Linked DNA regions of Saccharomyces cerevisiae S288C. Changing the gene in region 3 together with the main gene of any one other region gives a genetic interaction. Each region holds a gene or a part of one and is shown on either strand. Other genes may lie near its edges.

Evidence for each region.
Region 1: of MEK1 (region 3) and NDT80, changing one enhances a phenotype caused by changing the other (phenotypic enhancement), as found in Saccharomyces cerevisiae (2 studies listed by BioGRID).
Region 2: mutations in MEK1 (region 3) and PUF6 together harm fitness more than expected from each alone (negative genetic interaction), as found in Saccharomyces cerevisiae (3 studies listed by BioGRID).
Region 4: mutations in MEK1 (region 3) and ATG42 together harm fitness more than expected from each alone (negative genetic interaction), as found in Saccharomyces cerevisiae (3 studies listed by BioGRID).

What each region holds. Positions count from the first base shown.
Region 1 is NC_001140.6:354,661-362,543, reverse strand, and holds NDT80 (transcription factor NDT80), read right to left. Parts: upstream 5,984-7,883; coding exon 4,100-5,983; downstream 1-4,099. Other genes in the region: FUR1 (uracil phosphoribosyltransferase), read right to left, coding at 1-429; YHR127W (uncharacterized protein), read right to left, coding at 900-1,631; ANS1 (Ans1p), read left to right, coding at 2,363-2,842; YHR125W (uncharacterized protein), read right to left, coding at 3,381-3,686; EPT1 (bifunctional diacylglycerol cholinephosphotransferase/ethanolaminephosphotransferase), read right to left, coding at 6,463-7,588, 7,680-7,729. UniProt on the Saccharomyces cerevisiae protein: Transcription factor required for successful completion of meiosis and spore formation. Gets activated after completion of meiotic recombination at the end of prophase I.
Region 2 is NC_001136.10:1,439,182-1,447,179, reverse strand, and holds PUF6 (Puf6p), read left to right. Parts: upstream 1-3,776; coding exon 3,777-5,747; downstream 5,748-7,998. Other genes in the region: SEC20 (Sec20p), read left to right, coding at 186-1,337; myo-inositol transporter ITR1, read left to right, coding at 1,713-3,467; CORVET complex subunit VPS3, read left to right, coding at 6,030-7,998. UniProt on the Saccharomyces cerevisiae protein: RNA-binding protein involved in post-transcriptional regulation. Component of the ASH1 mRNP which transports the ASH1 mRNA to the distal tip of the bud, where the ASH1 protein is translated and targeted to the daughter cell nucleus.
Region 3 is NC_001147.6:993,059-1,000,488, forward strand, and holds MEK1 (serine/threonine protein kinase MEK1), read right to left. Parts: upstream 3,454-7,430; coding exon 1,960-3,453; downstream 1-1,959. Other genes in the region: MNE1 (Mne1p), read right to left, coding at 1-1,797; TFIIH complex subunit TFB6, read left to right, coding at 4,155-5,186; SOG2 (Sog2p), read right to left, coding at 5,395-7,430. UniProt on the Saccharomyces cerevisiae protein: Probable protein kinase required for meiotic recombination.
Region 4 is NC_001134.8:513,045-520,593, reverse strand, and holds ATG42 (carboxypeptidase C), read right to left. Parts: upstream 4,931-7,549; coding exon 3,404-4,930; downstream 1-3,403. Other genes in the region: GTPase-activating protein IRA1, read left to right, coding at 1-3,244; YBR138C (uncharacterized protein), read left to right, coding at 5,258-6,832; YBR137W (uncharacterized protein), read right to left, coding at 7,011-7,549. UniProt on the Saccharomyces cerevisiae protein: Vacuolar serine-type carboxypeptidase involved in vacuolar zymogen activation, breakdown of the autophagic body, and autophagosome-dependent protein synthesis.

The DNA.
Region 1 (7,883 bases), on a different chromosome or scaffold from region 3:
ACCGGTGGCCAGCATTGGGTCTAATAGGAAGACATACCTTTCAGATATATCCTCTGGTAATTTTTCGTAGAATAACTTTGGTAAAGCAGTCTCCTCGTCCCTTTGAATTAAAATTTTACCGATACGCACAGACCTACAACAGTCTCTTAATCCTTGCTCCATCGATTCACCAGCTCTGACAATGGAAACACCACAGATTTTACCCATGAATGAGACACCTTCGAAGTTTTCGTTGGTGTCAGTTTCCACAATTTGCTTTTGCACAGGTAGATGGTTCAAACCTTCTTCAACCAACAATCTGATGATTCTATCGGAGTAGAAAATGAAATCAGGTCTAGTTGTATTCTTATTTCTGATGATGGTGTACAAACCCAGCAATTGGTTTGTTTGAGGTAGCAAGTAGACGTTCTTAAATGGTTCCGAAGACATTTTTTGCAGATTTCTAGGTTTGCTAACGAAAGACCCTTTGTTTGGATAATATATAAGATATGTAAGGTACAAGAATGGAGAAGCCAAAAAGAATAACGGGTTCATGGTTCAAGAAGAAATGAAGCTAGTATTGGAAGAGGATTCTTACCAATATATATATCTCTTTTGAGGCAGCTTTGAAAGAAGAAGTGAAAAAAAAAAAAATTTTGAAAAAAAAGACGGAAAGGGAAAAGTCCGCCGGAGATAATTACAACTGTCGATTTTTTATGCGATGAGATAAGCTTATAGAAAAACCGGCCTTTCTGTTATTGCAATGACCTGCTTTATAGTTTATGAAATAATTACATAGGTCGATTACTAGTAGAATGAGGTATTGTTATTAGGCAGTCATGAGAAAGCATGTCTTCAAAAAAATAGTTTGTGGCGGGGATTTTGCTGATTAAATACCTTGTGAGTGTCGTTGACAAACTCTAATACGACAAGTGGGACGATTCATCAGATGCAATCACCACTTGGATGCGCCTTCCATCAACTAGAGCGCCATGGAACAGTTTTCTTACCTTCTCCAAAGACTGTGTTGTAGGATATGCCAGACGGACCTTAGCGGTGGCAGATCCTGAAGGCAGGTCTCTAACCCTAATTTGAGCTATCTGCACCTGAGAAATGTTTTCCAGAACATTTTTCAAGTTTTCTTGGTTTACTCCCAAAGTTAGGTTGAATAGCATTAACAATTTATCTGAAGCATCTGAATTTGTAGATATCACAAGCTGGCTGCCACCTTGTATTTCTTCGCCAAAATGTTGTCGCTGCAATTTAATATTAGTGGTAAAATTCCGAGAGTTCTTGGCCCTGTTCATGCCGTTTGCTTTTTCGCTCTGCCAATCGGTTCCTCTGTGGGCATTGCCCCAGTCAGGACTGCTGTTTATGTCTTTGTGGGGCCTATTATTCTTTATTCCCTTTTTCCTATTTCTTTGGGAAACATTAGTTCTTTTATCGATAGCACCCTGTGCTTCTCTTAACAGTACACCGACGTCATTGCTGCTTACTAGCTTACCGTTGACAACGCTAAATCCTTCTTTAGTGTGTTCTACGGTTTTTTTTTTCGCTACGCCAACTTTTTTAATCTTGTCCATGGGAACCACTCTGTCTATTAAGCGTTTACTTTGAACATTTTTCTTGGAGGTTGTTCTATTTCTAGCCATTTTGTGCTCTGATAGATATTTCTGCCTGCTCCAATCTAAGACATTGTATATTTTGAGGTTACTATGATCTCTAATCAATTCACGGTGTGTATCTTCTAAAAAATCTATGGATGGACCTTTTTTTTTTTCGCGTTGGCCCTGAAAGTTCCCTTACCCGGTTGCTTTTCCTGACAAATTTCTGTAATGACAGTAAATGAGGATGAAAAGTAGACTTTGGATACAATATCACTGCAGATTCGGCAAACTGAGGTGTTGATGTAAGTTGTTCTCACCGTGAATACTACCTCATCAATATGTATTGGGTAAGTGCAGCTCTTTTTTCTACCGTAATATTTCTTTGTATGGTAAAGTCTCGAACACTTTTCCTTTCCTTTTTTTTTATATTTCTTTTTATGCTAACTAATTTTTCTCTCTTCGAAAATCCAAAAAGAAAGTTTCAGTCGTACCTGGTACCTTGAGTCGCGATTCTTCGTAGTACAAATTATAAATCTAGACCCCACTTTGATTACTTTTGATGCCAAACGTTTCTTTTGACCTCTTTCCTTTTTACTAGCATTTGTAAAAATATCCATGTTTTTGTAGCTCGAGGAATACTATATAAAGGTGAACCTCCTCCTCAAAAATAGCCAACATTAACTTCAATACTTCATGTAATTTAATTTTTATAATCTGTTCAGTCAGCATATAAAAAATATAGAACAGAATCAAACGAACATCATAATTAATCTACCATGAAGTGCACTTTAGTTTCCACATTGTTTGCCATCACCAATATTCTAGTTGCACATGCACAAGTAAGCAACTCCTCAGACACGTTGGACGTACAATTTGCGAATAGTACGAACTCGTACATAGAAGGAAAATTTAATTCGACTGATGAAGCCTTCAACAGCAGCGCATCTTGGTCCTTAGCAGCTCAGCAGAAAAAGATATCTAATGCAGCTGTATATGATGTGGGTGGTTGGAATGGCTCATTGTATCGTTCCAATAGAAGCGCTGTTGCAGATCATCAACCCGGCAAAAAGCAAGATGCCGCTATTTCACAGATCAGTGATGGTCAAATCCAAGCCACTGCGTCTGGACCTGAGACTACCGCTGCTACTACCCCAAGTAGTACCGCAAATGTCTCTGTCTATGAAGGTGCTGGTATGAAGGTTGAATCCAAGAACATGGGTTATATAGTTGGAGTAGCAGCGCTATTATTTTTATAATTTGGCCTCCAAATGTAAAAATTGTACAATTAAGGACAATAGTATTTTCATTTTATAAAAAATATGTACATGTTAGAATTTTATAAGCCGAAAAAGCAGTCATTTTACCAGTTGTTTTATTCTTATCAGATGTCATATTCATGAAAACATAACACTGGCCTACACATTACACTGATTTTGTTCTTTAGGACAAGAAGTTTTCCAGAAAGAGTTTGCTGTCATTCACCACCAGTATATTATCATATACAGTATAAGGAGATGACATGAGTCGTGAGAAGTAGTCAGCGAACTTTATGAGAGCTCAAATACAAGGATTGGTAAAGCAATAGTAAGAATTGAGTAAAATTATTACACAACAGTTGGGATTTCGTTGTTGTGAAAGGTTATAATATTAGGTTTTCAAAAATATATTAAAAGCCACCCTCGAAGATACAATAATTCCAAAAAGGGTATCGATACTTTTACACAATATTATTCTATTACACTACTAGTCCTTGCGTTTCAGCTTCCTTTATTTTTGATGACTTTTTTTCAATCTTTACGTAATGTTCTTACACACCATGTGATAATACACTACTAATGTGACTACTAGTTGACGGATGATGATGTTCCTTATTACAGCAGTGTCAAGCCAAATGCATACATCGTATATTAATGTGCGCCACGTTTGACGTTTAAGTGTCACTGTGCTATTATAGAATAAAGAAAATGTTAGCGAGTATTTCATACAGTACTGAAGCCGAATTGAAGATAATTGAACGTTGCTGTGATAATTATTCATAGAAATATTACAGAGGATCGTATTAAATGTTTGGCAACTACCAATCATTATTGCATTGATCATAATCAATAATGAATGACAAATATAAGATGGGGAAGAAGTAATGATAATATTATGTAGAAATATCGATTCCCTTTTGTGAACTTCAAGATCTCCGAAGAGAACTTCTAGTATACTCTGTATACATAATATTGTAACATTGATTAACAATTGAATCTCAAAATTATCAAATTATTCACCCAATCTTCATTATTCACCAAATATTCCCAACTATCAGTAGTTCTTCTGGCAACTAATAAAATACTTAACCTATTCTATGTAGATATGAAGGGAACTGATAACAAATAGTAAGCGGATTTAGCTCAGTTGGGAGAGCGCCAGACTGAAGAAAAAACTTCGGTCAAGTTATCTGGAGGTCCTGTGTTCGATCCACAGAATTCGCATATTTTTTTAACGATTTAAAATCATTAGTTTATTTAATACTTATAGAAACTATCTTCCTCAAACAATTCTTCCCTATTAAATATACCAGATGGTAGAGTACCGCTTGCAATCAACTTGACCCCTTTCGAATATACCCTATCTGCATTTTCTGCATCCATTTTTTGATAATAATTTTGAAACGAACCTGTTTCTAATATTCTTGAAAATGTCCTTGGCACATCCTCTTCCGTAGCTGGGAAAAGTGCAGTTTCCAAGTGAAAATTTTCTGCTGAGTTAGGTAGTATAGAGAAAGAAATATTTGAAAGGGAGAGTTCGTTACCATAGCTTGTTTTGCATTCAGAACGTGAGCCTATCTCTGGTCTTAGATAATTCTGTTCCATTGATTTCTTCTCTATTGTTATATCATAATTTTCATGAGGTAATTCATTGATTTTTTTGAATGCTAATGAGCCTACTTTGAAAATATTCTCATGTTCAAAAGAGCGTGCCGGTTTCAGTTCGATTTGCTTCATATTAACAGAAAAACTACTTGAGTAAACTAAATCCTCCTTTTCTAAACACCCTTCCATACCTCTTGAAGATGAACTCGGATATTTCAGAGAGGAATCTGGACATTGATTTTTCAAAGCACCCAGTTTGTTCTGGATATGTTCAAGAGTCTCCACCCTTTTATTTGGCCTGAAGAACGGATCCTCATTTTCCTTCGAAGCTTCCATTGGTGTGGATTGACGAGATTTGATAGGCGAGATGGAGGCCCCAGAGTTCGGTGCACCTAGCGCCACTTTGGATCGCCTTTTCGAAGGTCTTGCATTTAAGCAACTTTCATTTAACGGCTGCGCCATTGATGGCATTTTTCTTTTTGTGCTGTTTTGTGAGGAATTGACACTCGACGGTGTTCTCACAGTTATTCGCTGAGATGACGCATAGTTAGAAGGTGATCTTCCTCTAATAATAAGAGGAGGCGTTTTCATTTCTTGCAAATACACAAACATCCCTTTTGATCCATTTTTTAAAGCCAGTTCATCATAAGGAATTCCGGGATTCTCCCCATGAAAGGTATCTGGATCTACCACTGCACCTAAAATTACATGCAAGCTAAAGTGTTTATTTTGTTGGGATGGTTTCTTCACGCTAATTGATGAAGCAAATTGAACTCTTTCATAACGGGCAACTTTCTGAATAGAATCTTCTGGATAGGAAAACAATAAAGAGTCCACTCCATATTCTTCATAATTAACGTGGTCTCTGTGCAAATAAAAAGTGGAATCGTATTTTTTCATTTTAGTGATATTTCGAACATTTGAAGCTTCTCTTATGATTTGATGTTTTGGCAAAGGGGAAGGCACCAACGGACATACTGAAGGACAAAATTGAGGACCTTTGTCGCGTTTCGCTGTATGCTGGACGAGATTGATTTCCGTGTCGTCGTCGTCATTCTTAGCTTTTATTTTGATAGCGAAATATTGCACTCTTAATCTGCTTTCTACTGAAGAGTCTTCAACGAGAAGATCAAAACTGCTCTTTAAAAAAGTATCCAAATCACAATTTGCCGTTTCAAACGTTGATACTAAGGTAAAATAATTTCTTTTATAACCTACCCACTCTTCATCAATATGGTCGAACCCTCTGTCAATTCTTGGAATAATTCGTAAATCTAGTGTTCTTCCGGTATGAGACTCAACGACTGGACAATAATCTCTCACTAATTCAAATGGAGGTCCCACTTTGAACTGTAGTGTTGATCTAGGGGCAATTTTTAGTTTCCTTTTGTCGAAATAATTCGAAGTGGTGCCATCTTCATTCAACTGCGTAAGGATAACAGGCGTATCCTCTTCCTGTTCTGTGCTTAATTCCCTCTCATATTTGGATACGAGATCATCCTGTAATACTGGATCTGTGTTTTCCATTTCATTCATTTTAAGCGCTTTTTATAATATTGTTATTTCTCTTTAATGAAAGGTTAGTAAACTTTCAATTTTTTGCTTAAATAGGTGACACAAAATGGAGGGCAATTATAAGGGACCTTGGCTTTTCGAAACAAAAGACAACCGTTCTGGAGCTTTGTCAGAGAGCTGGGCGGTTGTATAGAGGACAGGCCTCGAGATATTTGAGATCTCGTTTTCTACTCTTTTGTGTCATACGGCCTGGCCGATTTTCTGACACTTTGCCCTCCAAGCCGCACCTGAAGCAGAAAACGTCAAATAGCCGCGGAAGTAACAATGTAAAGTCACATATACAGTAATAGGAATGAAACACTATGTATATTCAAGGACCTTTATAGTTCTATAATATAACGCTATCTATTACACAAACTTGAGATTGAAAATCTCACAGGGCGATAGATTCATTGTTGTGCCTTGTTTTCGAATAAAAAAAAGTAGATACAAAGTGCGATTTATGTCAGCTTGGAGCGCTTGATGGATAAAGCATAAACGTCCAGGTACTCAGTAAATTCATGGATAATGTCATTCATAAACATAATGTGAACACCTAGTGAGAGACCGAACCCAAGCCAAGATAGGGCAAAGACGATTTTATTAGACTCAATTCCCCAAAGGGATAGACATATTTTGTACAATACTATCTGGCACAAAGGAATTAACATGGGTGCATTGAACATGGGAAAGCTCTGCTTAGTTAAATGGCAAACGATTATTCTTCCGACGGTAAATGCTCCCGTGAAACCAACGGAAAGGATGAAAGAGAGTGTAATAAAGCTTGGTTGCATCCACACTAGTAAAGCAATGCTTGCATAATAGGCAAAAAAGGGCAAAAGACCTTTTATAGCACTATCTTGCTCAATTTGCGTGATATTGTTGGCCGAAGAAGTGCTGTTTCTATAATACTTATCCACGTTTCTTTTCGCAGACAATGCGTTCATAACCAAACCGAAAACAGCTAGGGAAAAAACAATATCTAGAGTGTCTACATCAATTACCTTATCACCAACTGTAATTGTAAATAAGTAGGTATGCCAGATTACCTGTTTTCCGTATATACCTGTCAGTATCAATGAAACGCAAACAATCAGGATGCCTTCCACGGGTCCAGAAAACTCACTTAAGTATAATGTGTGTGTATGGTACTCTTCCCAAGTACTTAAGTAAAAATTCGTCAGCATCGCAAATTGGGATAACATTAAGTTATACGAAAATCCCATTCCAGTTTCGGATGCGAAGATGAAAATAGACAGAGTAGAATTAATGGCATCAATACTATGATCGAATAGTTCTCCTAAGGGTCCTGATTGATTGATACGGCGAGCGTGTACACCATCACATCCATCGAACGTTTGATATAGGAATACACCTAAAGCGTAAGAAAAATATGTCCAGCGAGGCGTATCTGTGTTAAGGTTTGGATCGTAATAGAATACAGTCAACACGTTGATAACTATAAAAGCAAATCCTGATAATGTGATGATGTTGGGCGCCATCCACGTGGGAAATATGTGACAAAATCTTTGCCAAAATGGCTTTAAGAAATACTTCGATACCAGCGAGCGGTCTTCACTTTGATATCTATCATGAAAAGGAATAAAAATTGTTGAAAGTTAGTAACAATGCTTCTGACTTCTGCACTTTAAAGGCAGCCAATGGACGCTTCACATACTTATATGACTTTAGATTTTCGATATGTGAATCCGGAACAAAATATCCCATTTTATACCTTAGCTTGTTTTTCTTATTCTACACTTCTAATTCCTACTACGATGCCATTGTATTCTTAGCCACAACGTAATTTCTCGACAAATATACGTATGCTCAGTCCAGCCCTTTCGCACAATTCCTCGCGTAAATATGGAAGCTTGTGAAA
Region 2 (7,998 bases), on a different chromosome or scaffold from region 3:
TTTACCAGTGACTTTATCAATAAATCACCTGCACACGCTGTCCGGGTAAATAGAATTGTTACTAAATAATGAAAAATACATTCGCAGTTGTAAAAATGCCAACAGAAATACCTGATATACAGTTAACAAGTAAGATCGGATCACGCTGCCAAGGCGCATAACAAACTATAAAGCCATTAAAGATTATGGTCGTGACATTTTTGCAGGACCTGGAAGTTTTGCAAGATGCATTATTAAATAATTTGCAAAAATTAAGTGCAATCTCCCGCAGAAAAGAAAGCGGAGAAAGCAAGCATGATAATAAGGACAGTTTTGCAGCCATTGCCAACGAACACAATGATGAAGAAGAAGAGATTGAATTTGAGGATTTGGTGAATATTATAGAGAGCAAAGTTTCAGATTTCGAATCGGTACTGAAATGTAGTATTGTGGAAATGACCTACAAATACCCCGAATTAAAATTACAGTGGGAAAAAAGCCCTAGATACGATCAATGCGATAAGTTGCATATTGTGAAGCTTGATAAACAAATGAACGAGGACATATATGCTCAGTTGGTCGAAGAACTGGATTTCGTGTTGCAATTCGTCGATTGGTTCTATTGCTACCGCCTGAAAGTCAAAGAGATTCTACGACAACACCACAAACGTGACTTAGCTTGGAACGACGAGAAAAGAGACCGCGCTATAAAATTTCACGCTGTGGATTACGACAAGCTTCACCAAGGAACGTCGTCATCGTCAAGCTTAACGTCCACATCGATGGAAAAAGCCAGCACTAGAGAGAAGCTTTTGAGCAAAACAAAACAACTGACGAATAACTTGGTGAGAGGAAATCAAATTTTGCAGTCCGGAATTTTACAAAGTGACCTGAATTTGGATGAATTGAGAGCCCAAACCAATTCCTTAACACAAATCGATGACAAGTACACTCAATTCGAAACCGTCTTCAAGAAAACTGCCGATTTGGTCAAAGTACTGGAAAATGCCTCCCATCAAGAGAAACGAGATGTCTATTTATCACTTGGGTTCCTCCTATGCTGCGTCTCGTGGGTTCTATGGCGTCGTATTTTCAAGTTACCTGTTAAACTCGGCCTCTGGCTGCTATTCAAGTTTTTCAAGGGTATACTCGTCACCCTAGGTCTAGTTAAAAGCTATGCAGGCTCCTCGTCCTCTCTTCAAGCACCCAGTCTTGTGCTAAATGCACCCATTCTAGCCACTACAACTACATCCTCAGCAACCTCTGTGGAACCATTCGCATCTGTATCAGCCGTCAGTAGTATCCAGCGGGCTGTCGATGAGGCCGTGGACAGGATCGTCTCACATGATGAGCTATGATAATTTTAACATCTATATAACATAATAAGCGCATATACTTAGTTCTCTCCATCCTCTCCATTTATTTTCTCTCACCATTGTTTCTGTTCTCTTCACATGCGTTAGGTATAGCTTATACCCCCCACTGGTTGCGCTAAATACGCCTTCCCCACCGCATGTGAAAAAAGCTCGACCAAGCTCAACGCGCTGTTGCAAAATGGAAAAAATATAAAAGGAATCAAGCCATAGTTGAGAAAAGACCTTTCACACTTGGGCTTTTCTTTGGCAGGTGTTTGCTCTATTCTTCTCTTTCAGTTTGGTGCGCTATTCAGATTTATTGGTCGTCCTACTGTATACATCTCTTTCATTTTCTTTGTTTCTGCAGTGGGTGTTAAAATGGGAATACACATACCATATCTCACGTCAAAGACATCGCAATCAAATGTTGGTGATGCCGTTGGCAACGCTGATAGTGTAGAGTTCAACAGTGAGCATGACTCACCTTCAAAGAGAGGTAAAATTACACTTGAGTCACATGAAATACAGAGGGCTCCCGCTAGCGATGATGAAGATAGGATTCAAATTAAACCCGTGAACGACGAGGATGACACGTCGGTCATGATCACTTTTAACCAATCTCTTTCGCCCTTCATCATCACTCTGACTTTTGTCGCATCCATATCCGGTTTCATGTTTGGTTACGACACTGGTTATATATCCAGTGCGCTGATCTCGATCGGCACAGATCTGGACCACAAGGTACTTACTTATGGGGAGAAGGAAATTGTCACTGCGGCTACCTCTCTGGGAGCTTTGATTACCAGTATTTTCGCCGGTACTGCAGCTGACATATTTGGTAGGAAACGTTGTTTAATGGGTTCGAATCTGATGTTTGTCATTGGCGCAATCTTACAGGTCTCCGCACACACATTCTGGCAAATGGCTGTTGGTAGACTGATCATGGGTTTCGGTGTCGGTATCGGCTCCTTGATCGCGCCACTTTTCATCAGTGAAATTGCTCCCAAAATGATCAGAGGGAGACTAACTGTCATCAATTCCTTATGGTTGACTGGTGGTCAATTAGTCGCTTACGGTTGCGGTGCTGGGTTAAACTACGTCAACAATGGTTGGAGAATTCTTGTTGGATTGTCACTAATTCCCACTGCTGTGCAATTCACATGCCTGTGCTTTTTACCTGACACTCCAAGATACTACGTTATGAAGGGCGACTTGGCAAGGGCTACTGAGGTGTTGAAGAGAAGTTACACTGACACTTCGGAGGAAATCATTGAACGTAAGGTGGAAGAACTTGTTACTTTGAATCAATCTATTCCTGGTAAGAATGTCCCTGAAAAAGTCTGGAATACCATCAAAGAATTGCACACAGTACCATCTAATCTAAGGGCTTTGATCATTGGTTGTGGTTTACAAGCAATTCAACAGTTTACCGGTTGGAATTCGTTGATGTATTTCTCTGGTACCATCTTCGAAACTGTCGGTTTCAAAAATTCTTCCGCTGTTTCAATCATCGTGTCCGGTACCAATTTTATTTTCACTTTAGTTGCCTTTTTTTCCATTGACAAAATAGGCCGTAGAACCATATTATTGATTGGATTACCAGGCATGACCATGGCTTTAGTCGTGTGCTCTATTGCTTTCCATTTTCTAGGTATTAAGTTTGATGGCGCTGTCGCTGTGGTGGTTTCCTCCGGTTTCTCCTCTTGGGGTATTGTGATCATCGTATTTATTATCGTATTTGCTGCGTTCTACGCTCTTGGTATCGGTACTGTTCCATGGCAACAATCGGAACTATTCCCCCAAAACGTGAGAGGTATTGGGACTTCATATGCAACTGCTACAAACTGGGCTGGTTCACTGGTTATTGCATCCACATTTTTGACCATGTTACAGAATATCACTCCTGCAGGTACATTTGCCTTTTTCGCGGGATTGTCGTGCTTATCAACCATTTTCTGCTACTTCTGTTATCCAGAATTATCGGGATTGGAGTTAGAAGAGGTACAAACTATTTTGAAGGACGGGTTCAACATCAAAGCCTCGAAAGCTTTGGCCAAGAAGAGAAAACAGCAAGTTGCCAGAGTTCATGAATTGAAATATGAACCAACTCAAGAGATTATAGAGGATATATAGTCCTTTCACGAGGTAAAAGGAAGGAGACGCAATTGAATATTCAAATACATAGTAGAAAATAAATAAAAATAAATTACAAGATAGAAAAAAGTTCATTGTATTTAAGTCGAACTAATTGTTGTATGCATATATAGAAGATTAACTAACCCGGCATTGAAGACCTTTTTTTTTTTTCACCTTGAGAGAAATACTGAAAATTTTTTTTGCTGGGATGAGATGAGATGCCTACCTAAAGTATTTCGAAGGTGAAAGCGTTTTATTATAGAGTACTGAAATAAAGCACAATCAGGAATAACAAATTAACTGACAATGGCACCTTTAACCAAGAAGACAAACGGAAAACGTTCTGCTAAAGAAGTTAGTCATTCAGAAAAGAAATTAGCCAAAAAACCTAGAATTTCTATTGATTCGTCTGATGAAGAATCAGAACTATCCAAAAAGGAAGATGCTGTATCCTCTTCATCAGATGATGATGATTTGGATGATTTAAGTACCAGTGACTCTGAAGCAGAAGAAGAAGCTGACGAATTAGATATTTCCGATGACAGTGAGGAACATGAAAATGAGAATGAAGAGAAAGAAGGAAAGGACAAATCTGAAGGAGGTGAAAATGGAAATCACACTGAACAAAGAAAACTGCTAAAAGAAAGGAAAATGCAAAGAAAATCTGGTACCCAAGTGCAACAAATTAAATCCGTCTGGGAAAGATTGCGTGTGAAGACCCCACCTTTACCAAAACAGATTCGTGAAAAACTTTCCAACGAAATCTGGGAGCTATCTAAGGACTGTATCAGTGATCTTGTCTTAAAGCATGATGCTTCCCGTATTGTTCAAACTTTAGTCAAGTATTCGTCCAAAGATCGTCGTGAACAAATTGTCGATGCTTTAAAGGGAAAATTTTATGTTCTAGCCACATCTGCGTACGGTAAGTATCTATTGGTTAAGTTACTGCATTATGGTTCAAGAAGTTCAAGGCAAACTATAATAAATGAATTACACGGTTCTTTGAGAAAATTAATGAGACATCGTGAGGGTGCCTACGTTGTTGAAGATTTATTTGTTCTTTATGCCACACATGAACAAAGACAACAAATGATTAAAGAGTTTTGGGGCTCTGAATATGCTGTATTTAGAGAAACCCACAAAGATTTGACCATTGAGAAAGTTTGTGAAAGTAGCATTGAAAAAAGGAATATTATCGCCAGAAACTTGATTGGTACCATTACCGCATCAGTAGAAAAGGGTTCCACCGGCTTTCAAATTCTACATGCTGCTATGAGAGAATATGTGAAAATAGCCAACGAAAAGGAAATATCTGAAATGATCGAATTGCTTCATGAACAATTCGCTGAATTGGTGCATACTCCAGAAGGTTCAGACGTTGCTTGTACTTTGGTTGCTAGAGCTAACGCCAAGGAAAGAAAGTTAATTTTAAAGGCTTTGAAAAACCACGCCGAAAAATTGATCAAAAATGAGTACGGTAATATTGTCTTCATTACAATTCTGAACTGTGTTGACGATACAGTTTTAGTATTCAAGACTTTCAGTCCTACTGTTAAGGAACATTTGCAAGAATTCATAATTGATAAGTTTGGTAGAAGGCCTTGGTTATACATACTATTAGGTTTGGACGGTAAGTATTTCTCACCTATCGTCAAGAATGAATTATTGAGATACATTGAACTGTCCAAAGCCACCTCTAAGAAGGATCCTTTACAAAGAAGGCACGAACTTTTGTCAAAATTCGCCCCCATGTTTTTAAGCACTATATCAAAAGATTATTCCAGTATATTGACAGAGAATCTAGGCTGTCAGTTCATTGCCGAAGTTCTAATAAACGATGAGTTGTACGCGCAGCTGAATGAAAAAGACCAAGAAAAGTATCAACAGGTCTTAAACAACATTTTAACTACTTTTAAGGGTGACATAACCGAAGAAGAGCACCCAATACATAGAGCATTTTCTACTAGACTATTAAAGGCACTAATTCAAGGTGGTAAATGGAATAACAAAGAAAAAAAGGTCATACCATTAAAAAATGTTCAAGGCTTAGGCGTTCCATTTGCTGAAAAGTTATACGATGAAATTATTGACTCCTCCAACTTGTTAGAATGGATTAATAACGCTGATAGTTCATTTACAATTGTTGCACTGTATGAAACGTTAAAAGATCAAAAAGAAGGGAAACCATTTTTGAAGGATTTGAGAGGAGTTCAGAGTAAAATCACCACTGATGAAAGTAACAAAGGCTCTCAGCTTTTGGCTAAATTGTTAAAATAAATTTTCTACGATAAAGTCACAATATTTGGTATATAAGCATCTGTACAATAATAATAAAAAGCTTGATCTCATTGAAAGTGCAGGTATATATAATTGTCTCCTAAAAACTCCTTACATCGCATAATATCTGTTGAAGATACCGTTCCGATGGGAAAAAAAGGCAAGTTTAACTGGAAATATTCATATGTACTTACTATTTTATAACGACATTAGTGAATCAGAACTATCATAACAGTCAAGGAGACTACCTTTTTTTGGTTGCAACCATAATATTATAGAACCATGGTAAAAAAGAAAACGAATAATGACAAAGGAAAAGAAGTAAAGGAAAATGAAGGAAAGCTCGATATAGATAGCGAATCCTCACCTCACGAAAGAGAAAATGACAAAAAAAAAACAGAAGATGATAGTCTACGTGCAACAGAAAGTGAAGAGACGAATACACATAATGCTAACCCAAATGAAACAGTACGAGCTGATAAATTTTCCCAGGAAGAGAGTCGACCAATCGAAGACAGTCCACATACTGATAAAAACACAGCACAAGAAAGCTGTCAGCCTAGCAGCGCAGAAGATAATGTCATAAATACAGATATTACAAGCTTAAATGAAAAAACCTCCACGAATGATGAACAGGAAAAAGGGTTGCCACTGAAAATAAGCGAAGGTCCTTTTACAATCTCTACCCTATTAGACAATGTACCATCTGACTTGATATACACATGTTGTGAGGCGTATGAGAACCACATATTCTTGGGAACAACTACAGGTGATCTTTTACATTACTTTGAACTTGAACGTGGAAACTATATGCTTGTGTCGCAAACAAAGTTTGATGCAGAATCAAATTCGAAGATAGACAAAATCCTTCTTTTACCTAAAGTAGAAGGCGCACTAATATTATGTGATAACGAACTAGTTTTATTTATTCTCCCAGAATTTGCACCAAGGCCCAACACAACTAGACTTAAAGGTATTAGTGATGTCGTTATTTGTAATTTTTCCCGAAGCTCGAAGGCTTATAGAATATATGCATTTCACGCAGAAGGCGTAAGACTACTCAAAATATCTGCAGATTCATTAGTACTTACCAAAGCTTTTAATTTCAAACTAATAGATAAAGCTTGTGCGCACGAAGAAACATTAATGGTTTCGAAGTTAAATAGTTACGAACTTATAAATCTAAAGTCGTCACAGGTAATTCCATTATTTCGAATAAGTGAGACTGACGAAGACTTAGAACCTATAATAACCAGTTTCAATGAACAGAGTGAATTTTTAGTTTGTTCTGGAGGAGGATCATACGATAGTGGGGCGATGGCCTTAGTGGTAAATCATCATGGCGACATAATAAAAGGAACTATAGTGCTAAAAAATTATCCAAGAAATGTAATTGTTGAGTTTCCCTACATAATCGCTGAGTCTGCTTTCCAGTCGGTTGACATATATTCTGCCTTGCCGAGTGAAAAATCCCAGTTGTTGCAAAGTATAACTACTTCTGGATCGGATTTAAAAATTTCAAAATCTGACAATGTATTCACTAATACCAATAATTCTGAAGAATTCAAAGAAAAAATATTCAATAAGTTGAGACTTGAGCCTCTGACACATAGTGATAATAAATTTAGAATTGAAAGAGAACGCGCCTTTGTTGAAGAGTCTTATGAAGAAAAGACCTCTTTAATCGTTTATAATAATTTAGGGATTCATTTATTAGTTCCAACGCCGATGGTCTTACGTTTTACATCATGTGAAGAGTCCGAAATTGATAATATTGAAGATCAATTGAAAAAGCTTGCGAAGAAGGATTTAACAAAATTTGAGCACATTGAAGCGAAATATTTGATGTCTCTTTTATTGTTTCTAATGACCTTACATTACGATCACATAGAAGATGAGGTAATGAAAAAGTGGTGTGACTTTTCTGACAAAGTTGACATCAGAATATTATTTTATATGTTTGGCTGGAAAGTCTATAGCGAGATCTGGTGCTTCCATGGGTTAATAAATATAGTTGAAAGGTTGAAAAGCTTGAAGCTAACTAACAAATGCGAGAATATTCTAAAAATGCTTCTGATGATGAAGAATGAACTAAAGAAAAAGAATAAAACTGGACTCTTAACGAATGACTTTGATGATATAATGAAAACTATTGATATAACTTTATTCAAATTAAGATTGGAAAAAAAGGAAACTATAACTGTTGATATGTTTGAACGCGAAAGTTACGACGAAATTATCAGAGAGATTA
Region 3 (7,430 bases):
CCCAAAAATTTTGCGCAATTCCATTATGTTTATTGGTTGAATGGTCCCTTTTTCTGACTTAAATGGTTTATTCTCAACATACCATTCGCCGACGTCATCTGTTATCTGCAAAACTCTATCGGTGTTTTCTTGTATATCAATTTCTAAGCTGGATAGCCATTCAGAAATTGCATCTCCGATTTGTATTGGCAACCTCCACGAAAACTTATCACTAAACTTATCGAAAAGAAAAAATTTGTGACTTTGTGTAACCAACAAATTATAGAAAGCAAAATAGAAAAAATCAGAATCAGAGTAGTTTTTGCAGACTTTCAACATCGAGAGAAAATCGTGGGAGGTAAATTGATAGCCGATTTCATTCAACTGGTTATACAATGCCAGTAGAGTAAGTTTGGTAGAAATATCTTGAGAGGCGCCATGAAAGAGGCAATGAAAAGTGGAATTTTCTTTGTTTCCAACTATATTATCTGTGAGTAATAATGGCTGCCATAAATTTTTTTCGTATACTATGTGCTCGACCAATGAAAGCATAAAATCGAAATCCTTGCGCACAGATAAGTGACACAGTAGCATATCAATAAAAAAAGCTCTTAAGGAATGCAGGTTGGACTCAGCCTGCATTTGGTCATCAACCTCCTTAATGTGCTTTTTCCATACTTCTAAGTTCAGAGGCAAATCACTTAATTTAAACGATAGAAATTGAAGAAATGAATCTTGCTTGAGAGGTTCGAAATTATCTTTTGATAAAATATGTATGCTCTGCTTCAAACTCACGTCAGTTGGTAATTTTTCAAGTCCGAATTGCCTAGTGACAGCGGTAGTTGATGATAATCCATTCATGGTTTCAATAACTTTGAGGCAAGAATGGTTCTGGGATAATTGTATCAAGTTGGAGGAATCATGCTGATCAAAATGAAAGTTCCATTCAGACAAGCTCCTTAAAATCTGACAAGCTTCATTCTCCATATTTTGTGCTATCATTACTTTTAGACTTTTGACTAGGCATGGACTAAATAACTCCAACAATTGAATAGCTCTTTCACGCTCCTTCGAACCTCTTAAACCAGAATCCGGTACACATGAGGATAAAATATCCAACATACTTGTCCATTGGGAGGTCTCCACATAAAATGCCAGCTGGGATAAATTGGCTAATAATTGACCCTCCGAATTTTCCGCGAACAACCGCTGTATTGCCCTTAAGTAGTAGTTCGATTGGGATTTAACAATTAAAAGAGTACAATTCCTCAAAAATTTTATGTTTGCCCGAAATTTTCCTTCTATAGTTAAAGATTTGGTTTTAAGAAAATAATAGCGATCCAATAATTGCAATGAAAATTTAGCTAGTGCAATTTTGTCATTTGCGGACCGAAGCGATAGTTTATAGAGCATATTAGATAGCTCATGATAAAATTCCAAAGGCAGCCGATCAGGTGGGAATGCATCAATCTGTCGGCCACTTTTATTTAGCCATTTTATGTGACCTGTGCCAATACGATTCAACAACGCAAAATACAAAGCAGGATTATCGGATGTACGAAGCTTCTGTAGAGTAGTCAGTACCACATTTAATCGTAAATTTACATTTTGGAGCTTATCTTCATTCAGTTTATCTTTTCTTGTTAGCGCATCCTTCAACCATTTATCAGTTATTGAGTTAGTTCTTTTGTTATTTGGTAAACGTTTATGCGATGATGGCTGTCGCCCTAGCTGTGGTAGTATTTCAGGAGTGATTAAAGAGTCCTTAATCAGCTTACCAATATGACTAGACGAATATCTTTTAAAAAGTAACTTCATATTCTTCTTGGCACACTACTATCATTTTTTCTCGCCGTTTCTAGTAGAAAAGGGCAACTTTTACTTAAAAATCATACAATTGACTTACTTTTTTTTTTTTACACAGATACCTTTTTATTTTGAACTACGCGCAGTTTGAAAGAGGAAGAGATAATCCTATGATTACTCCAAAACCTTCTTCTTTTTCGGTATTGCCTGAGAAATGATAACACTTTTGGGTAACTTCCTTTTCCAGTCTGAATTTATACTTTCTAGTTTAGGGCCTTCGTTATTGCACAATATCTTTTTGTAATATAATCTCTCTAATTGACTTAAGTGTTTTGCAATCCAAATATGTTTGAGACCTTGCTTACTATTTAATCGTTTAACTACGTCAGTTTGCAAAAGGTCTTTGACAAAACTCTTGGCATTATCTGAAACAATATCCCACTGCTTCAGTTTGAAATTCAGCTTCCCAATTTTTGCATTTTGAATAATACTCCTCTCAGAACCATCTCCATAAAAAGGCGAGATCCCTGTTAACATAATGTGTGTAATGACACCCAAAGACCAAAGATCACATTTACTGTCATAACCTCGTTGCTCTAACGTAGCTGCTCTTGAGAAGCTTTGATATGCTTTTCTGTTTGCTCTGAATCCAACTTCTGGAGCGCAGTATTCCGGAGTGCCTACGACAGTATGCATTCTTTCTTTGTTGGAATTTAAATCTTTAGCTATACCAAAGTCTGCCAAGACGATTCTAGTGCACGGTTCTGGCGTACATAACAAAATATTGTCTAGTTTCAAATCGCGGTGAACAATGTCTTGATCATGAAGGTAGTTTAAAGCTTGCAAAATTTGAAAGACGATCAATAGCGATTCAGTTTCTGACATGGAAGTTAGACAGTCGCCTTTAGCTAGGTAAGAAAACAAATCACCACCAGGGATAAGATCCTGGAATATGTAAAGGTGATTGTTCCTGTCACAGAAAGTATGGTAGACTTTGATAATATTTGGGTGATCCAGTCTCAAAAGGATTCGAGCCTCTTTATCGAATTTATTTGGTTTTAGTTTAATGATCTTCACAGCATAATTTTCAGGGTGATAACAGACATCTTCATCACGTTCTTTTGAGTTATGCGTGATCAGAACATGACCGAAAGTGCCATTACCCACTATTCTATTTGTTATTTCCCATTGGTCTACTTCCCTCAGAAAACCCATTTGATCTAAAAGTTTTGGGTCCAGAGAAGATTGTAAATCATCATTAATCATAAAAACTAGTCGTGTTTTTTTAATGTCATTTTCTTCACTTCCCTGCGATAATTCAATAACGTCGCAATGTTTTAAAAGATACGTTTTGTCCCTTTTCAAAAGCAAACCGTTCAAATACGTTCCATTAAGAGAACAATCTTTAACGTAGAACATTGGAATACTATCCTCATCAAAAAAGACACACCAAAACACGCAATGAACAGAGGAGATAGAGGGATTCGTTAGAACGAGTTGACATTCCTTATCATTTCTCCCAACTTTCACGAGCTGATGCTTTACTATAGGTATTGTCTGCTCTGTATTATAGCCGCCTACATTAACTTCCAGGTGAGCAGGAGCTACGCCACCTGCCATCTCAATATCATCTTTGGTTGCAAGGTTGCAGCTATACAACGGTCTCATTCCGCTCTTCTTCTTTCTGTTGTATATTTGGTCCTTAATAAAATTTGAAACGTACAAGAGCACTCCAGAAGGAGCTCAAGTAAAAAATTAGTCAAACCTCTCCCTTTTATACTTGAATGAATGAAATAGCCGCCGAAATTTAGCCGCCATCATTCTTCTTTTCCCCGGCTAAATTACCACGGTATGCTTTATGATTGGAAAATACCCATAAAGTAGGAATAAACTACAAATGATTCCACTTAATGAAAGATAAGCAGACAAATATACTGCATATAAGTGAAAAATAGTGAGGAGATCGCTATCAGTCAATATTGTGAAGGACCTACCTACTCTTTTTCTAGATATATATTTTTTATTTGCACAGGACCCCTCTTGCATAATTGTTCCTACTAATACGGTAGGTAGCACACAATTTTACACCACTTGCTTTACAATCATACCTCATAGGGCCTTCTTATTCTGATAATGCCCCTTTTAGAATGGCTAAACTGCTTACGTCCCGCTTTCTTACGCACTGCGCGCAACATGCAGGAAGAACAAACAACCTCGCCCTGTTTCCATAATGAAGGTCCTTGAAATAGAAGCCCCACAAAAGGGTGGAAATGTGGCAGAATAAACAGTAAGCTAACTGTTGTAGAGACTCCAAGCCCTGGTAAGGAAAGAAATATTATAAAAATAAAAGATTTCAACACAGTATTTTGATGTCTGAGCCAAACACACCATTACATGCTCAACCGAATGAGCAACTGGACTTGAACAACTTAAATGATCTAGATGAAAAAGACATTGATGATTTAAACTTGGATCCAAACTCAGATGTAGAAATTAGTGCAGACTCAGGTGATGTCGTAAATTCTAACATAGACAACGTTATATGGCAGCGTAATTGTAATAAGAAAAGAAGATATCATACACCAGAATTCAATGATGTTTACAATGAAACTAACAACACAATCAACGACGTAACTATGCTCGATGATGTTGACGATTTCCAGCCTAGAATAAACGTGTCTTCTCCCTTTTCGTCTGCCACAAAGCTGAGTGAATTATTGCCAAATGATCACAATGGAACGTCACACCCGAGAAGATTGTCAATGTCTCAACAATCCAAATTCATCTCTTACGTTGATGATCAGCTTTTACAAATTCAAAGAAAATTTGTTCAATCCAGGGGCCTGAATATCAAAAACGGCTATGCCAGTCTTACTCCGCTGCTGCAGGATTTAAAAACTTTAGTTGACTTCGTTTGGTATTCTATTGCCCATGTTCCAAACTCAGACTATTTACTTCAATCAGAAGAAAAGAGACATTGCCCAGATTCCCGAAACCCAAAAGATACATGCGGATATTCTAGTTATTTTGGTCAAGGGTCCTATTTAATAAAAATTGCGGACGATCTCATCGATTACGTTGAAAAATTTACATTCAAAAATATGGAAGACTCAGAGATTAATGACACTTTATCCAAATTATTCAAACTCTTCTTCATCCTTGACAGGATATTTGTAATTCTAACTGATGATAATGATAATTGCAAAGAAGTCCCTAAAACGTCTTCAGCCAGCAAGAACATAGCAGGATTGAATGGGACTGATATTGTGAGGTTAAAAGGTATCGCGGAACGAACAAGAGTTCGCCTACCCATATTTTTGGAATCCCAGGGTATCCATGGTTACCATTATGAATTAAGCAAGATTTACGAGGGATTTTTAGACCATGCCAATTCATTTTAACATTTACATTCAACCAGTGGCGTGTATCTTTTATACAATAAATCTGTAACTTTTAAAACTTCTGTTTCCGAACTCCTCATTTTTCATGCATAAATATATAAATATATATATATATATATATAAAGCATACATTTCAGTACCATGGGGTATATGATCCTCCCATTACGTATTCTAAAGTTCGCGTTTTCTCACAATGCAAGTTTTTATATTACTCCGGAGAGTTGGCGCTTACTGATACAGCCTTGTATGAACTCAAGTCCAATATCACAGTGACATCCTTGGTAATCTTCGCCAAGTTGGCTAGGTTAGGTCTCAGCTCATTCAAATTAGGCACGTCGCTCATTACGATTTTAGTATTAGCCAGAATTGATATTATTACTTTTAAGAACGAATTCATTATCTCCCACGTTTTCAGCTTCTCCAAAGATGTCAGATACTTCTCTGAATTTGAATCGTTCGGTATTAATACATTTAACCTTTCATTCAATTGTTTGGATAAATCCATCGCTTGACGACATGTTTCCGTCAAATCACGAATTTTAGGTGCTAGCGAGTCCGTCAAAATTTGCTTTCCCATGGTGCTAGCAATGGCTATCTTGGATATCTCTGAAGTTAACTGGTTATATACAACGCTCACCATTTTAACTACTGTGGACAACGTTTGATACAGTTGAATGTCAATATTTGTCTCCACTACATTAGCACTACTGTTCGCGGCACCACCACCATTCATCGGTGGTGGGGTTATATTAACATTCGAGACGTTATTACTATTTGATGCGTTAATTATTGAAGAAGTCATAACCGGATGCTGTTTAGGTTCATGCGCCTGTGACTCTTTTTTCGAATCGCTGATGGATTTATTGTGCTGAAGCAGCTGTTGCCTTGGAATAGTATCGCTAGTAGTTTTTACTTCATTCATGTTCGTTTGAGAACTTCCATTGCTTATTGCATTTTGGTGTCCCAAAATTGGACCATGGGTGTGTGCACCATTTAGATTTGGTGATAAAAGAGGAACAGCAGTGGTATCACCCGTCAGAATATTACTATTTGAAAGCAATGCAGATGCAGATGGTGTTCTTGTGCTCCTTGTTTTCGGCAGTAATTTTATGTTTCCGCTACAATGTGTACTGGTCGTACTTGCTGCGGGTCCTCCACCGCTTGTGATACTACTGGACGATGTCTCGTGCCTCGAAAAAGAATGTTTCTTGGGTGCCTTACTTGCAGAACCGGACACTTGATCATCTTCTTTGATAAAAGACCATGCATTATACATTTCCATATAAGCACACATTAATGTCATATAAAACATCCTTATGAAGCATAGATCGTCTTCTTTGAAAAAAATCTCAAAATTTTTTCTCAACAATGTTATAATTTGTTTAAAATTTGTGATGATAGTGAGGCACAGCTTGATTAACGCCTGATCATGCGATTCGTCTTCGTTCTCTGTTTGCTGCAAGACCTCCACCAGATTATCAGTATGTGATCTGACAGAGTATAATAATGATACTACATTAACCGCTACGGCCTTCTCTTTACAGAAAGAGGCGATTTTTCTGATAGCTTGTTGGCATTCTGTAAAACTAAATAGGAGCTTCCGACAGGAAACAACCAACTCTGCATGCGATATTTTTTGATGCCCGTTACTCATTGACTCTTCTGGTAAAATCGACAACCTCTTGAAGTAGTCATTATATTTGGTGTGATTGTATAGTTCCGTACCATTCACTGCCCCACTTTGTTCTGATTCTGCATTGACTGTACCACTGAAAGATGTTGCAGAGGTTTGATTAGATGAGACCATTGCAGTAGATGCACTTATAGTTGTATTTGCACTTGGGGCAAGTGAAATTATATTGTTTTCATTCATTGCTCCATTAGACAAGTTCGTATTTATGAATCCCATTCTTTTCGCTGCTCTAGATATTTTAGGTTCTGGAGTAGGTAGGTTAGGATGATCTTTTAGATATCGTGATATCGCAATTGCCCAATATTCTTCTTTGGGGATGCCCGTATGAAATGGAGTATAACTCTGTACTTGGTCAAGCTCTTCTTTGGGTATTTTATTATCCTCTAAATCCAAGATGCTCAGCTTGTTTAATTTTGTGATCGATTTCAAATTACGTATGCTAGTAACGTTGTTGTCTTTCAATGATAATACACGAATATTATCTTGCCAAAACGATGATATTTCATCTGGCAATGCTTCAATCTCATTGGAGGACAGATCCAAGATCTCTA
Region 4 (7,549 bases), on a different chromosome or scaffold from region 3:
TGTAGTCGAGAATCGGGAAAAATATCCTTCATTGTATGAATTCATGAGTCGCTATGCCTTCAAAAAAGTGGACATGAAAGAAGAAGAAGAGGATAATGCGCCATTTGTACATGAAGCAATGACATTGGATGGCATACAAATCATTGTCGTAACTTTTACCAATTGCGAGTACAATAATTTTGTAATGGACTCACTGGTCTATAAAGTTCTGCAGATATATGCAAGAATGTGGTGCTCTAAACATTATGTAGTTATCGATTGTACCACCTTTTATGGGGGTAAGGCTAATTTCCAAAAATTGACTACTCTATTTTTCAGTTTGATACCAGAGCAAGCATCAAGTAATTGTATGGGATGTTATTACTTCAACGTCAACAAATCATTTATGGACCAATGGGCCTCATCATATACTGTAGAAAATCCGTACTTGGTCACTACAATTCCCCGTTGTTTCATCAACAGCAATACTGACCAAAGTTTGATAAAGTCCTTAGGATTGAGTGGTAGGAGTTTGGAAGTTTTGAAAGATGTAAGAGTTACTTTGCATGATATTACCCTTTATGACAAGGAAAAAAAGAAGTTTTGTCCCGTGTCCTTGAAGATAGGAAACAAATACTTCCAAGTTTTACATGAGATTCCGCAGTTGTACAAGGTTACCGTATCAAACAGGACATTCAGCATCAAATTCAACAATGTTTACAAGATATCAAATTTAATTTCAGTCGATGTCTCTAACACCACAGGCGTTTCCTCGGAATTTACGTTAAGTCTTGATAATGAAGAAAAGTTGGTATTTTGCAGTCCGAAGTACCTAGAAATTGTGAAAATGTTTTATTATGCCCAGTTAAAGATGGAAGAAGACTTTGGTACGGATTTTTCGAACGATATTTCATTTTCAACATCCTCTTCAGCAGTTAATGCTTCTTACTGCAATGTTAAAGAAGTTGGTGAAATTATATCACATTTGTCATTGGTGATCCTTGTAGGTTTATTCAATGAGGATGATCTCGTCAAAAACATATCATACAACCTTCTCGTGGCAACGCAAGAAGCATTTAATTTAGATTTTGGGACAAGGCTTCACAAATCCCCAGAGACATATGTACCCGATGATACCACCACGTTCTTGGCCCTAATTTTCAAGGCTTTTTCAGAATCTTCAACGGAACTAACTCCATATATATGGAAATATATGCTGGATGGCCTTGAAAACGACGTGATTCCTCAAGAACATATTCCTACGGTTGTCTGTTCATTGTCATACTGGGTACCAAACTTATATGAACATGTATATTTGGCAAATGACGAAGAGGGACCAGAGGCGATTTCACGTATAATCTATAGCTTAATCAGGTTGACGGTCAAAGAGCCAAATTTCACGACAGCTTACCTTCAACAGATTTGGTTTTTACTGGCATTGGATGGTCGTCTCACGAACGTGATAGTTGAAGAAATAGTAAGTCATGCGCTGGATAGAGATTCAGAAAACAGAGACTGGATGAAAGCTGTGTCAATACTAACCAGTTTTCCAACGACAGAGATTGCTTGTCAGGTAATAGAGAAGCTAATAAATATGATCAAATCTTTTCTACCTTCTCTAGCAGTTGAGGCTTCCGCACACAGTTGGTCTGAGCTTACTATTTTATCAAAAATTAGTGTGTCAATTTTCTTTGAATCACCCTTACTTTCCCAGATGTATTTACCGGAGATTCTTTTCGCTGTGTCTCTGTTAATTGATGTCGGTCCTTCGGAAATAAGAGTCTCATTGTACGAGTTGTTGATGAATGTTTGTCATTCTTTAACCAACAATGAGTCCTTACCTGAAAGGAATAGGAAAAATTTGGATATCGTCTGTGCAACATTCGCACGTCAAAAGTTGAACTTTATCTCCGGTTTTAGCCAAGAAAAAGGTAGAGTTTTACCAAATTTTGCCGCTTCCTCCTTCTCCAGTAAATTCGGAACATTAGATCTCTTCACTAAAAACATTATGCTATTGATGGAATATGGTTCTATTTCAGAGGGTGCACAATGGGAGGCAAAATATAAGAAATATTTGATGGATGCGATTTTTGGCCATCGGTCGTTCTTCTCTGCGAGAGCTATGATGATTCTAGGTATAATGAGTAAGTCGCACACGTCCCTTTTCCTTTGTAAAGAACTTTTAGTTGAAACCATGAAGGTCTTCGCAGAGCCAGTTGTGGATGATGAACAAATGTTCATCATTATAGCTCATGTCTTTACTTACAGCAAAATTGTCGAAGGGTTAGATCCTTCTTCAGAATTAATGAAAGAGCTATTTTGGCTTGCTACAATATGTGTTGAATCCCCTCATCCTTTACTCTTTGAAGGTGGTCTCCTGTTCATGGTAAATTGTTTGAAGCGACTGTACACGGTCCATCTTCAACTTGGATTCGATGGCAAATCGCTAGCCAAAAAATTAATGGAATCTAGAAATTTTGCTGCTACGCTTTTGGCTAAGTTAGAGTCATACAATGGATGCATATGGAACGAAGATAATTTTCCTCATATTATTTTAGGTTTCATTGCAAACGGTTTATCCATTCCTGTCGTAAAAGGAGCCGCATTAGATTGTCTACAGGCCCTTTTCAAGAATACATATTACGAAAGAAAGTCCAACCCAAAATCCTCCGATTATCTTTGTTACCTTTTCTTACTCCATTTGGTCTTAAGTCCTGAACAACTTTCTACCTTGTTACTTGAAGTCGGCTTCGAAGATGAACTGGTACCTTTAAATAATACACTAAAAGTGCCACTTACTTTGATCAACTGGCTAAGTTCAGACTCAGATAAATCTAATATAGTCTTATACCAAGGAGCACTTTTGTTTAGCTGTGTTATGTCAGACGAACCATGTAAATTCCGTTTTGCTCTATTGATGAGGTATTTGCTCAAAGTCAACCCTATTTGTGTATTCAGGTTCTATACGCTGACTAGAAAGGAATTCAGGAGGTTATCAACCCTAGAACAATCATCTGAAGCGGTTGCTGTCTCTTTTGAATTGATTGGGATGCTTGTTACACACAGTGAGTTTAATTACCTAGAGGAATTTAATGATGAAATGGTCGAACTTTTAAAAAAGAGAGGCTTGTCAGTTGTGAAGCCTCTGGATATTTTTGATCAGGAACATATAGAAAAGTTAAAAGGAGAGGGTGAACATCAAGTGGCAATTTATGAGAGAAAAAGATTAGCAACAATGATACTGGCAAGAATGTCGTGCTCCTAATTTTAAATTAGAGTATTGCAGTGATTATATACGTTTTTCCTTATAATTATATTTTGTTTTATATTTGTTGGATTGTAGATTTTAAATTAAATGAAACGTAGAGATTTGTGTAAAGTATAATGATTGCAAGGTTAAGAGTGAAACATTTTTAGAGCACTACTAACTAGCATTTTCCAAGGTGGAAAGATCCGAAAAAGCACGATTACCGGAAATCCAACTGTTGACCATTTCCAAACTTGCCTCCGGTTGATCATAGGGCACCATATGACCGGCATCGTATATTCTCAAAAAGGTGAAAGGGCCATAGTTCTTGACTTGTCCCAACTCTTCACCTGTTTCTTTACTGACCCATGGTCTTAACATCCTTCTCTGATACCTACGTTTATTGATCCATTCCAACTCATTGGACCAAGCATGGTTTCCCAGCCAATTACAAATATAATCCTTATCACCCGCATATATTAATACCGGAATGTTGTGATTTAATAATTCAGCAATATATTGTTGAAATGGTTTACTTCCATCGCCCGTAAACAAAAATCCGGTGAACACGTCATTATCACAGCCAGAATAATTATGCACGTCGGACCCTAGCGTTTCTTGAACTTCAGGAAAATTCATATACTGGTCGACATAGCGGAGACCTGTATAACACATACCATCAGTACTATTATCTTCACAGGGCCCTCTAATGTCATAGACGTTGAGTCCTGTGTTAATGTACGGTTCCAAAAGTGCAGAGTCACAGTAAGCAGTGGCGACTATGCATGGTAAACTTGATTTAGAAGCATAACATAACTTGTTCAACCTACGACAACGACCTGCAGCTTTACTCATTTTCTCACATTCTTCTGATGAGAGAACAGGGTGATAGCCCCCTTTCCCGCATGCCATTGGTTCATAATAATCTGCTTGAATCAAAGGGTCTGTGATACCATTACCAATCATAACTGAAGTTAAATTGAACGTTCTTTCAGGGTTCTTGACAACGATCTCATGTGCAATTTGAGGGATATAATGTCCTGCATAGGATTCGCCTGCAATGTGGAAATCGTTGGAGCGTAAATGAGGAAAAGCTTCAAAAAACAATTCCAGGAAAATGTACGCATCTTTGCCTGCTAATTTTGTAGAGGAGACTTTTTCATCACCATAGGAAAAGCCGACTCCGAGTGGCTGTTCTAAGAAGATCATTGAAGCGTTATTATTCCAAGAATAGGGATTGTGGATTGGTTTCATATCGGCGCCAATTGATGAGGGGCCTAGTTCAAATAGCAACCCAGTAAACGAGGAACAACCAGGTCCACCATTTAACCAAAGAATAATTGGGTCGTTAGCAGGATCGTTCCTACTTTCAAAAAACCAGTAAAAAAAGTGTTTGGAATCCTTATAGTCCATGTAACCCGACCATTGTTTTACGGTGTCAATTCCTAGTTTAGAAGGATCTACTGTTCTAAGTCTCAAACTGTAATCTGTGTCCACAGAAGAAATAAAAGTTGTAAACAGCGGATCATCGTGATTCAAACGGTCCAATTTAAGGGTTTGCTGTGTATTCTGTGGAAGCTTTAGCTGTTTATCCAAATTGGCAAAGGTGGTATCATCTTCAAAAAGAGAAAAGGCTCGGCCGAATGAGGCGTATTTGATGCTAATAAGAAGCTGAAGCACGAAAACTAAGTTTAGATACTTCATTGTATGTCGGTATCACTTTTTGTATAGCTGTTTTAAAGAAAAAATGCAGGATGACAATTTTCGTTCTTATATAACCCCTGTCCCCTGACATTTTTCGATAACGAAGCGTTATCTCACCTTTCGTAGAATGCTAGCGCCGCCTCGGCCATTTTTAGGAAATTTCCTAAATCGCTCACATTGTAAACAAGAACATCTTAGAGAACTCTAAGCACTTTTAGAAAAAAGGATTATACTAAACGAGTCAAAAACTATTTATCCAACAAGTCACAGATTGGAATAGTCTCGAAAACTTGATCCAACCACTAATTAAAAGGTTAAAATTAAAGGATGGAGAAAGATCAAATCCAGCCTAGGGTGTTGGAGTCAGTAGACACAAACTCATTATCCTTGCTTTCGTCCAATACCAGCTCAAATATGAATAGCAACACCAACAATAAACTCAGTATAATTGCCAGTGATATTTCTACAGGATCCGTACTTTCCAGGCCCTTGACTCCTCCAGTCGTCCAGGATATAGAGAATAACTCCATGTTACAATGGCAATTTGAAAAGAAGGAATTTATCTTCGATAGTAACAGCACTCCTTCGAAGCAGGCAAAACCATTGCAGAGAAATTCTCCATACCAAGGCAATAGTCAAAGTGAAAATCAGAACCAACAGTTATTGAATGTAAGAAAGCGTCGCTCACAATTGATAGGTGCCAAGCCTAAAATTCCATCCAAATTGTACCAATCTGTTTCCAAATTAGATCTAATTGATGACAAGAGCTTTACGTCTTTGCCAATTGCGCCTCCATGCAATATCGAAACTAATGAAGATGACAGTGGAAACAACGAATACAACAACAATAAAAAACGGCCCAGGTTGAATCCTGTAAATGAACTGCGAGTGCATAACAACAAACGTAATAGGTACGTCAGTTATGGGCCGAGTTTAGATACAAAAAACTACGAGCTAACAGAAAATACTTCTCAGGATATACCACCGCTAGTCCTGGTTGAAGACTACATACCGTATACCCAAAGTAAATCAACAAAAAAAATGGTATCTATTTCAGATTTGAAATCAAAACTAAGTAAAAGAAGAGATAATCATATCCCGCTGAGAGTAAAAAATTCATATTCTGAAATTAATAAGGAAACCAATAGAAATAGCTTTGAACCGAATTCACTAACACTGATACCCCATATATTAAGGAATACTGAAGAAAATAGGGACGAAAGTAACAACCCCTTAGATTTTATCAAAGAGGAAATTGAAATAAGTGATATTTCCATACCAAATTCCATTGAAAATATGGTGGTTAACTTGGTTAATATTCCATCTTCCAATAAAAGTTACGATGATCTTTATCTATCGGAATTAAATGTTCATTCCCAACTGAGGAAATGTGTCATCTGCGAAAAGGCCCTATATGAAATTAGCTCGAGACTTTTAAATTCAGGATACTATAAAGAAATTGTATGTGAGCAATGCACAGTTAGATATGAAGAAGCCGCTAAAATCTTTGAGAACTGCGAGTTCGAATCATCTATGGATGAATCAAATCTAAGCAGCGGTACTTTTAGTGATCTAGAGAATTCAGCAGAACCGTTTCATTTATCGACAGATGTTCCAAAAAAAATAAATAGGCACATAGAAGATAACAAGATCGACCTTAAAAAGGAAATATCAAAAAAAAAGGACAGCTTCTCTAAGGAACTAATAGAACGATTGCAGTTGCAATTGCTAGAAAATGATAAGTCAATCAAACATCATTTTAATAAAGATGCAATGGGCTCTAAATCAATGAATTGGTTTTTGGAAGCAAGAAGAAAATTGAAGTGGAAGTGGAGAATAAATGGTTTACTTCCGCATTTCTTACGCAATCAAAATAGTGATCGTTTAAATTTTCAACCTTGAAAATACATTGCTAAGAGATCACTAAAACAAACAGGACTGCATTGGTGCTGTGTATTTTTTCAAGGGCAAAACAATCAATATATATATGAAAAGCTTACGACTAAATAACAGTTATACTAGTAACGGGTAAAAAATATTCTATGGTGTTCAAGCCTCTATTTTACTTCTACCTACATTCTCAATCCAAATTCAAATCTTCTTCTAGACTTTCATTAGCAAATGCAATTAAAGAGCTGACTGCCATTAAATGGTCTTCTTCCTGCTTCAATCCACTTATAGTTAAGCAGGCATAGGGGTAGTCACTTCTCTCCGATTGTATTAGGACAGCACCTCCATGGAAAGCGTATTCTTTTGAGTCCACAAAAAACTTTTCCTCCGGTGTTTTGTCACCTTTCTTGCAGCCCATATAGAAACTTGAATGACCAAATCGAAGCGCTGTCTTCTTCTTTCTCTGGATCCAAAAATCATTGTCCAATGCACTGCCACCGTAGGTCACTGTGCGAAACAAGCAATGCCCATTTGGTAAGGAGATATCAATTGCAACTGGTTTTTCGGGGAAATTTTCTTTAACTGCATTTCTTATGTAAGTCCCCAAATCAAAGGCATCTTGATATGTAAAAGTAGACAAAAAGCATCGTTTTTCCATATCTTCGAGCTCTTCTAAGGGAACCTTACGAGAAGTCAATCTTTCCAATAACTTCTTGTCTAAAACCACCA